2 linked regions of the Sus scrofa genome follow. The protein of the gene in region 1 purifies or fractionates together with the protein of each later gene. This does not show direct contact. Links are inferred from orthologs where the notes say so. Each region holds a gene or a part of one and is shown on either strand. Other genes may lie near its edges.

Region 1 (3,740 bases):
TGCAAAAACTCCAGCACTTAGATCAGGCTGGGGGAGGGGAGCGGTGTCTGGAGAGGGCTCCCTAGCCCGGGCTCGCGACTGTTCTCTGCAGGGACTACCCAGGCCCAGACACCCCCGGGGTGCCTCGGGGTCGCAGAGCTGGCAAGCCGGGCCTCGTTTGTAGATTTGTGCAGGGGTGGCGGGTACTGTTCCGAACAAGCACCTGGTAGAAGGGAGGGGCGAGGCTCTCGAACCCTCCCCGGTCGGCCCGAGCTGACCTGCCCCGCCTGGGCTTTTTAACCCAGTCGGTTTGTTAAAGGCGTCGCGGCTGGAGTCATTCACGTGCTTTGTAACTGTAAGAACAGAAAAAATTGGACCAAAGCTCCCAGCTGCAGGGAGCAAAGAAGGGGCGGAGAGAGCTGCGATTATTTTCTAAGAGGACGAGAGAGGTTTGTTGCACGCGACAGTTCACTGGGGAGGCAGGGTCTGAGCCACAACGCGGTTCGGAGTTGGTTTGGTTTTGGTTTTTTTGTGTTTTTTTTAATATAAAAAAAAGCGTAGGGAAAAAACCTAAAAGTCTTTAAAAAAAAAAAAAAAAAGGATACATCAAACTGATTCTCCCTTTTTGTATGCCGGATGCTGCATGAGTCTGAAACACCAATAAACGGAGACTGCATGATACTCGCCTCCAGCCTCAGTTGGTCCTTACGTGCCTGCGCCGCGGGGCCGGAGGTACAGCCTCCTTTGGGGCACAACCTACTAGGTGATTTGCGCATGCGCCACCCCCGTGGCCATCTTTACTGTGGGCCGAAGCCTATCGTTCCCGAGCGCCTACCTGCGCATGTGCAAGCCTCCCCTTGCTTTCCTCTCCCAAGTAGCTTTGACTAAAGCGGAGCCTCCCGCGCCGTATCTGTGCGCCTGCGTACTTTGACCCTGCGCGGCCCGGGAGGCGGGTCTTAGCTCCAGGTGCGTACGGCCGCTGAGGTGGGGGACCTTCGAGGTGTGGGGAGAGGACGCCGCATCCAGGTGTAGAGCGGCGTAGTGCGGAGGCGAGAAGAGCGGGTCCGCCCGTCTCCGGCCCGGAAAGTGGTTTCTGCCGCTCGCTGGAAACCTCGGAGTACCGGATCTCGATCTGTGGGGGGCGGGGTCCTTGGAGGGGACTGAGCGCCCCCTCCTGGGAACCGGTGGTCTGGTCGCGAGACCGCTGTTGGAGCCTGATTGGTTAGCGAAACAGTCCCCGAACCCCGGGGTGATCCCTTTTTTTGGGAGGGAGTGGAGGGAGGGAGGGGGCGCGGGGGGAATCCCCGGCTTGGTACTCCTGCATCTCCTGGCATCGCTGGGCCCCTTCCCTAGTGGCTTATGTCCCTTGTCCGGGGTCATGGAGACACGGCAGCCACCGCGGCGGCGCCTCTGTCTGAAGAAGGGGAAGTGACCTCCGGCCTCCAGGCTCTGGCCGTGGAGGACACCGGAGGCCCCTCTGCTTCGGCCGATAAAGCCGAGGAAGAGGGGGAAGGAGGCCGGGAGGAGGCCGAACATGAGGGGTCCAGGGCCGAGGAAGTGCAGGGAGAAGCCCCCAGCACTGAGGGGGAAGAGCCCGCCCAGGGAGACTCCGAGGACTGGTGCGTGCCCTGCAGCGATGAAGAGGTGGAGCTGCCTGAGGATGGGCAGCCCTGGATGCCACCTCCCTCCGAAATCCAACGGCTCTATGAACTGCTGGCTGCCCACGGTACCCTGGAGCTTCAGGCAGAGATCCTGCCCCGCCGACCACCTACGCCTGAGGCCCAGAGTGAAGAGGAAAGATCTGATGAGGAACCCGAGGCCAAAGAGGAGGAAGAGGAAAAGTGAGGATTGCTTCCTTGATGCCAGGAGGAAATAGGGAGGGAGGTGGGACCCAGGAGCATGGGAAGTTAGAGGGAGGGGAAGAGCCCGAAGGCCCGGGAGAAGCACCAGTGGAGGTTTGGAAGGATCTCCCTCACCCTCCTCTCTCTCTCCACCTGTCCCAGGCCGCACATGCCCACAGAATTTGATTTTGATGATGAGCCAATGACACCAAAGGACTCCCTGATTGACCGGAGGCGCACCCCAGGTACAGACAAGAGTGGAGAATGGGGGGCGCGGGGGGGCCTCTGTTCCCACTTACTCCGAAAGGGACTCCCTGAAAGAGGTCTTTGAGGCGTTCTCTGATGGCTTAGTGGCAAAGGACCCAGCATTGTCACTGCTTTGGCACAGGTTCGAACCTTGGCCTGGGAACTTCCACATTCCATGGGTGTGGTCAAAAAAAAAAAAAAAAAAAAGGTCTCTGCTTGGTTCCTTGGTAGCTACACAAATCACAGCTTCAGGGGAGAGCGTGCACTCAGTGGTTGCCATCCTTCCAGTCTAGGTGGTACCCAATTTTCTTTTAAAAGATTATCACAGGTAATTCTATCATATTTCCCATTCCTTTGGTCTCATTTCCCCCCCACCCCCATCCCAGAAGTCCGAGTCTTCTTGGTCATTATCTAGCTCCACATCCCTATGCTACTGCGTACACCTCCTAATCTGACCTAGCTTCCCATGCCTAGAGTTTACCGTCAGAGCCATTCTCTCTCTCTCTCTTGTGTGTGTGTGTGTTTAGGGCTGCATCTGCGGCATATGGAGGTTCCCAGGCTAGGGGTCAAATCAGAGCTATAGCTGCTGGCCTACACCACAGCCACAGCAACATGAGATCTAAGCCACATCTGGGACCTACACCACGGCTCATGGCAACACCGGATCCTTAGCCCACTGAGTGGGGCCAGGGATCGAACCCGAATCCTCATGGATACTAGTCAGGTTCGTTAACCTCTGAGCCAAGACGGGAACTCCTCTCAGAGCCATTCTTGATTTCTCTTTCTTTCTTTTTTTTTTTTTTTTTTTGTCTTTTGTCTTTTTTTGTTGTTGTTGTTGTTGTTATTGTTGTTATTTCTTGGGCCGCTCCCGCGGCATATGGAGGGTCCCAGGCTAGGGGTCTAATGGGAGCTGTAGCCGCCAGCCTATGCCAGAGCCACAGCAACGCGGGATCCGAGCCGCGCCTGCAACCTACACCACAGCTCACGGCAACGCCGGATCGTTAACCCGCTGAGCAAGGGCAGGGATTGAACCCGCAACCTCATGGTTCCTAGTCGGATTTGTTAACCACTGCGCCACGACGGGAACTCCCGATTTCTCTTTCTTTTATGTCAACATTCAAACCAGCAGCAAGTCTTGTTAGGTCTGCCTCCACATTTCCAAATTCAGCTACTAGTCTCTGTCTTTAATGTGACACCCTGATCCAAGCCGTCTCTCTTTCAAAACATAAGTCAGCTCAAATCTGTTTTAAATTTTTTTAAATTATTATTATTTTATTTTTAGGGCCTCAAGTGTGGCAAATGGAGGTTTCCAGGCTAGCGGTCCAATTGGAGCTGCAGCCCCTGGCCTACACCACAGCAACACGTGATCCGGCCACATCTGCGACCTACACCACAGCTCACGGCAACACTGGATCCTTAACCCACTGAGCAAGGCCAGGGATCGAACCTGCAACCTCATGGTTCCTAGTAGGATTTGTTGCTGCTGTGCCACGACAGGAACTCCCAATTCTGTTTTAAATTCTCCGAAGGAGGAGTTCCTGCTTGGTGCAGTGGATTAAGAATCTGATTGCAGTGACTTGGTTCACTGGAGAGGGACGGGTTCAATCCTGGGCCTGGTGCTCTGGGTTAAAGGATCGGGCGTAGCCTCAGCTGTGGTTTGGATTCAGTCCCTGA
Region 2 (3,650 bases), on another chromosome or scaffold:
GCAGCAGCAGCAGCAGCTGCAGGCAAGACCCCCACAGCAACATCAGCAACAACAGCCACAGGGAATTCGACCCCAATTTACTGCCCCAACTCAGGTGCCTGTTCCTCCAGGCTGGAATCAGCTGCCTTCGGGAGCCCTTCAGCCTCCTCCAGCCCAGGGTTCTCTGGGCACAATGACTGGAAATCAAGGGTGGAAGAAGGCTCCCTTGCCTGGCCCAATGCAACAGCAACTCCAGGCAAGACCATCCTTAGCCACGGTACAGACACCTTCCCACCCTCCCCCTCCATATCCCTTTGGCAGCCAGCAAGCCTCACAAGCCCATACAAACTTTTCTCAGATGAGCAACCCAGGCCAGTTCACAGCTCCTCAGATGAAGAGCTTGCAGGGAGGACCCTCTCGGGTCCCAACCCCCCTGCAGCAGCCCCACCTCACCAACAAGTCTCCTGCCTCCTCGCCCTCCTCCTTCCAGCAGGGATCCCCTGCATCCTCCCCAACAGTTAACCAAACTCAGCAGCAGATGGGACCAAGGCCACCTCAAAATAACCCACTTCCCCAGGGATTTCAGCAGCCTGTCAGCTCTCCAGGTCGGAATCCTATGGTTCAACAGGGAAACGTGCCACCTAACTTCATGGTGATGCAGCAGCAAGCACCAAATCAGGGGCCACAGAGTTTACATCCAGGCCTAGGAGGTGAGGAACACTGAAGCTGTTTGTGTTGGTGAATTTACTGGAGATAGATCTTAGTAGAACTTCAATTTTTAGAGTTAATTGAGGGTAGTGTAATAAGGATGTAATTATTTGTTTCTGTGGATGCAGTGATGGCATTTGATTATATAACTTAGTTAACTTGATGCATGATGCAGCATCTTACTGGTTATGTTTAAGCTAGCCCTCTGGATAAAAACAGGTAAAATTCAATATAGAGATGTTCATTTTCTTTTTCAAAATATTTTTGCTTGATCTTGTAGTAGTAAGTTAAAACATCCAGAAGAAACATGAGTTTATTAACAACTTAAGCTGCTCAGCTGTTGAAAAAATTAAGATTATGTAATAGAGCAAAAATGAAAAGATAAGTATAGGGTTTGTTGGGGAAAAGGCCCGTCTAGCTTTCAATTTTGATAATCCTGGTTAGTAGATAGCGTGGTATTTGTTAAATTTGATTAAAGTATTAAAGGGGAATAAGTTCAGGAATCATTGACTTTTATAGTTTTATAATGCCAATGCCTGCTCCTTAGAGAGGGAATTCCACCAGTTATACCTAAAGGAGATTTATTTATTTATTTTGTAAGGTGCCTCTTGTATGAAGAAAAAGCAATGGAGCTTAATGTGTGAGAGGTAAAACGATTACAGTAAAACTTATCCATCTCCATGTTTATTATTTATTCTTATTAATCATTGATCTAGTGCACATGAATGTGCTTGGAGCTTTTCAGTAAGGTATAGAGAGTATCAGGAATACTATCATCTGATAAACATACCCCCACCAAAAGACACCCATTGCCTACCCAGAAAAAAATCCTTGCATCTTTAGTGCAACATAGCAAAGGCATGTTCCCATGATTTCTGGTAAAATTAAGTTGCTCATCAGTCTTTTCACTCTCTTGTAATTACTTTTACTGACATGCAGGCTATAATATTTGAATCCTAAGAAGTTTTTAGAAAATGCAAGAATATTTCAGCTCCAAACTTCACTGTTCTGGGCAACTAGCCTTGGATCAGTGGAAGCTGGGTAGTCTCTCCTGCAAATGTGATTACTGATTTAACTACAATGGAAGCATGTAAATGGGGACTTGTCACTGCTAAAGAAAGGACAAATGCATATTTGTCTACAGAGCGTTTTTCAGGACATTGAAAATTTGGCCCTTAAGTAAATGGACTAACACAAAAAAATTTTAAGTGAGCTTTAGGTCTTGATGCTTTCATAGAGCAAATGATATGCTCACCTAGGTGATCTGGCCACATCCAGGCCTGTTATAAACAGTGAGTGGATTCTGAGATTCTTATTACAATTTTGTTTTCTTAAATTAAACCTTCCTATGAAAGAAAGTATTACTTTAGTAAGATTCTGTTCAAGCAGTTTTTGGTACTATAGCTGTCAGAATTGCAGCAAACCATTTGAGGGGAAGGTGTAATGATAAATTTAACATATCGTCACTTTGACATTCCTTTGAATTATTTCTAATCTCTTGTCTCTTCCAAAGAGACAAGTACAATATTGGGGAGAAATTTTCCATAAAGAAAATTGTCATTCATTTCCCTCAATGGAGGGGAAAAGAAGTCATCTATCTATGCTTAATATCAGGACCCAGGTCTTTGTTTTATAGTATTTCTTGTCAGCTTATTTGACTATAAGAGAATTTAGCGTATTCCTTTGGTACCTGTGTTAAAGTATGTAAAGTTTTGGGGTCCATAGTATCACAGAGAAAAGTGAGCCCTAAACCTTGCTGTGACGTGGCCTCAGATCACATTTAGGGAGCAGATTGCCATCTTTTCCTTGGCATGTTCTAAGTGTAAATTTTTTAGTATTTCTTTTTCATTTTGACAATGCTCATGTAAGAGATTGTGTTGATTTTTTTAACCATCTTTCCCAACCTTATTATTAAAGATCCTACCAGTGTGACAGAGAGAGCTAAGCCAGTGGAGGCTTCATGCAGCTCATCCTTCCTTATTCATTCCACATCTAAGCAAGAGTATAAATTTGCTAGGTAACTGCCTTACTCGTTGTTTTCTATTAAGGAATGCCTAAACGCCTCCCACCTGGCTTCTCAGCAGGACAGGCCAATCCGAACTTTATGCAAGGTCAGGTGCCTTCGACCACAGCAACTACCCCTGGGAATTCAGGAGCCCCTCAGCTGCAAGCAAATCAAAATGTCCAGCATGCAGGTTTGTTTTTGTGATTTATTCAGCAAGCATTTATTGAGCATTGTGTGGACCACAAGGATATACAGAGAAATATAAGTCCTAGTTCTTCCTCTTAGTTTCGGACCTATAAATAATTATTCTTTCAGGGCAATAACTGACATATCAAAAGTAGGTAGAATGTCTCGAAAATCTAGAAACACCTGAAGAAAGGAGATGAAACGAGGTAAAGCTGGGGTTAGCAGGGTTTTTTGGGGGTTTTTTTGTTTGTTTGTTTTTCTTTTCCTGAAATGAACCAAATAGTAAATACTTTAGGCTTTGCAGGTTGTATGTTCTCTGTTGCAGTTACTTAACTTTGTTCTTGTAGCACCAAAGTAGCCATAGACAATACGTGAATGAATGAGCATGGCCGTGTTCCAAACACTGTTTATTTACAAGCTGGCAATGGCAATGGATTTGGCCCATGGCCATAGTTTGCTGACCCCTGAGTTAGTGAATGGACACTAAAGAAAGTGTTTCTGGAGTTCCCATCATGGCTCAGCAGAAACAAATGTGACTAGCATCCCTGAGGACGCAGGTTCGATCCTTGGCCTTGCTCAGTGGGTTAAGGATCTGGCATTTCTGTGAGCTGTGGTATAGGTCGCAGACGCGGCTCAGATCCCACATTGCTGTGACTGTGGTGTAGGCCAGCAGCTACGGTTCCCATTCAGTCCCTAACCTGGCAGCCTCCACATGCCAGGGGTGCAGCCCTCAAAAAAGACAAAAAAAAAAGAAAGAAAGAAAGAAAATGTT

What was found.
Region 2: the proteins of PAGR1 (region 1) and NCOA6 purify together in Homo sapiens (affinity purification with mass spectrometry; 3 studies listed by BioGRID and IntAct, with this or other methods). This does not show direct contact. The link is inferred for Sus scrofa from reciprocal best matches to the Homo sapiens genes PAGR1 and NCOA6.

Annotation. Positions count from the first base shown.
Region 1 is NC_010445.4:18,051,817-18,055,556, forward strand, and holds the start of PAGR1 (PAXIP1-associated glutamate-rich protein 1), read left to right. Parts: upstream 1-862; 5' UTR 863-1,338; coding exon 1,339-1,820; intron 1,821-1,982; coding exon 1,983-2,065; intron 2,066-3,740. UniProt on the Homo sapiens protein: Its association with the histone methyltransferase MLL2/MLL3 complex is suggesting a role in epigenetic transcriptional activation. However, in association with PAXIP1/PTIP is proposed to function at least in part independently of the MLL2/MLL3 complex.
Region 2 is NC_010459.5:38,145,340-38,148,989, reverse strand, and holds part of NCOA6 (nuclear receptor coactivator 6), read left to right. Parts: coding exon 1-689; intron 690-2,735; coding exon 2,736-2,882; intron 2,883-3,650. UniProt on the Homo sapiens protein: Nuclear receptor coactivator that directly binds nuclear receptors and stimulates the transcriptional activities in a hormone-dependent fashion. Coactivates expression in an agonist- and AF2-dependent manner.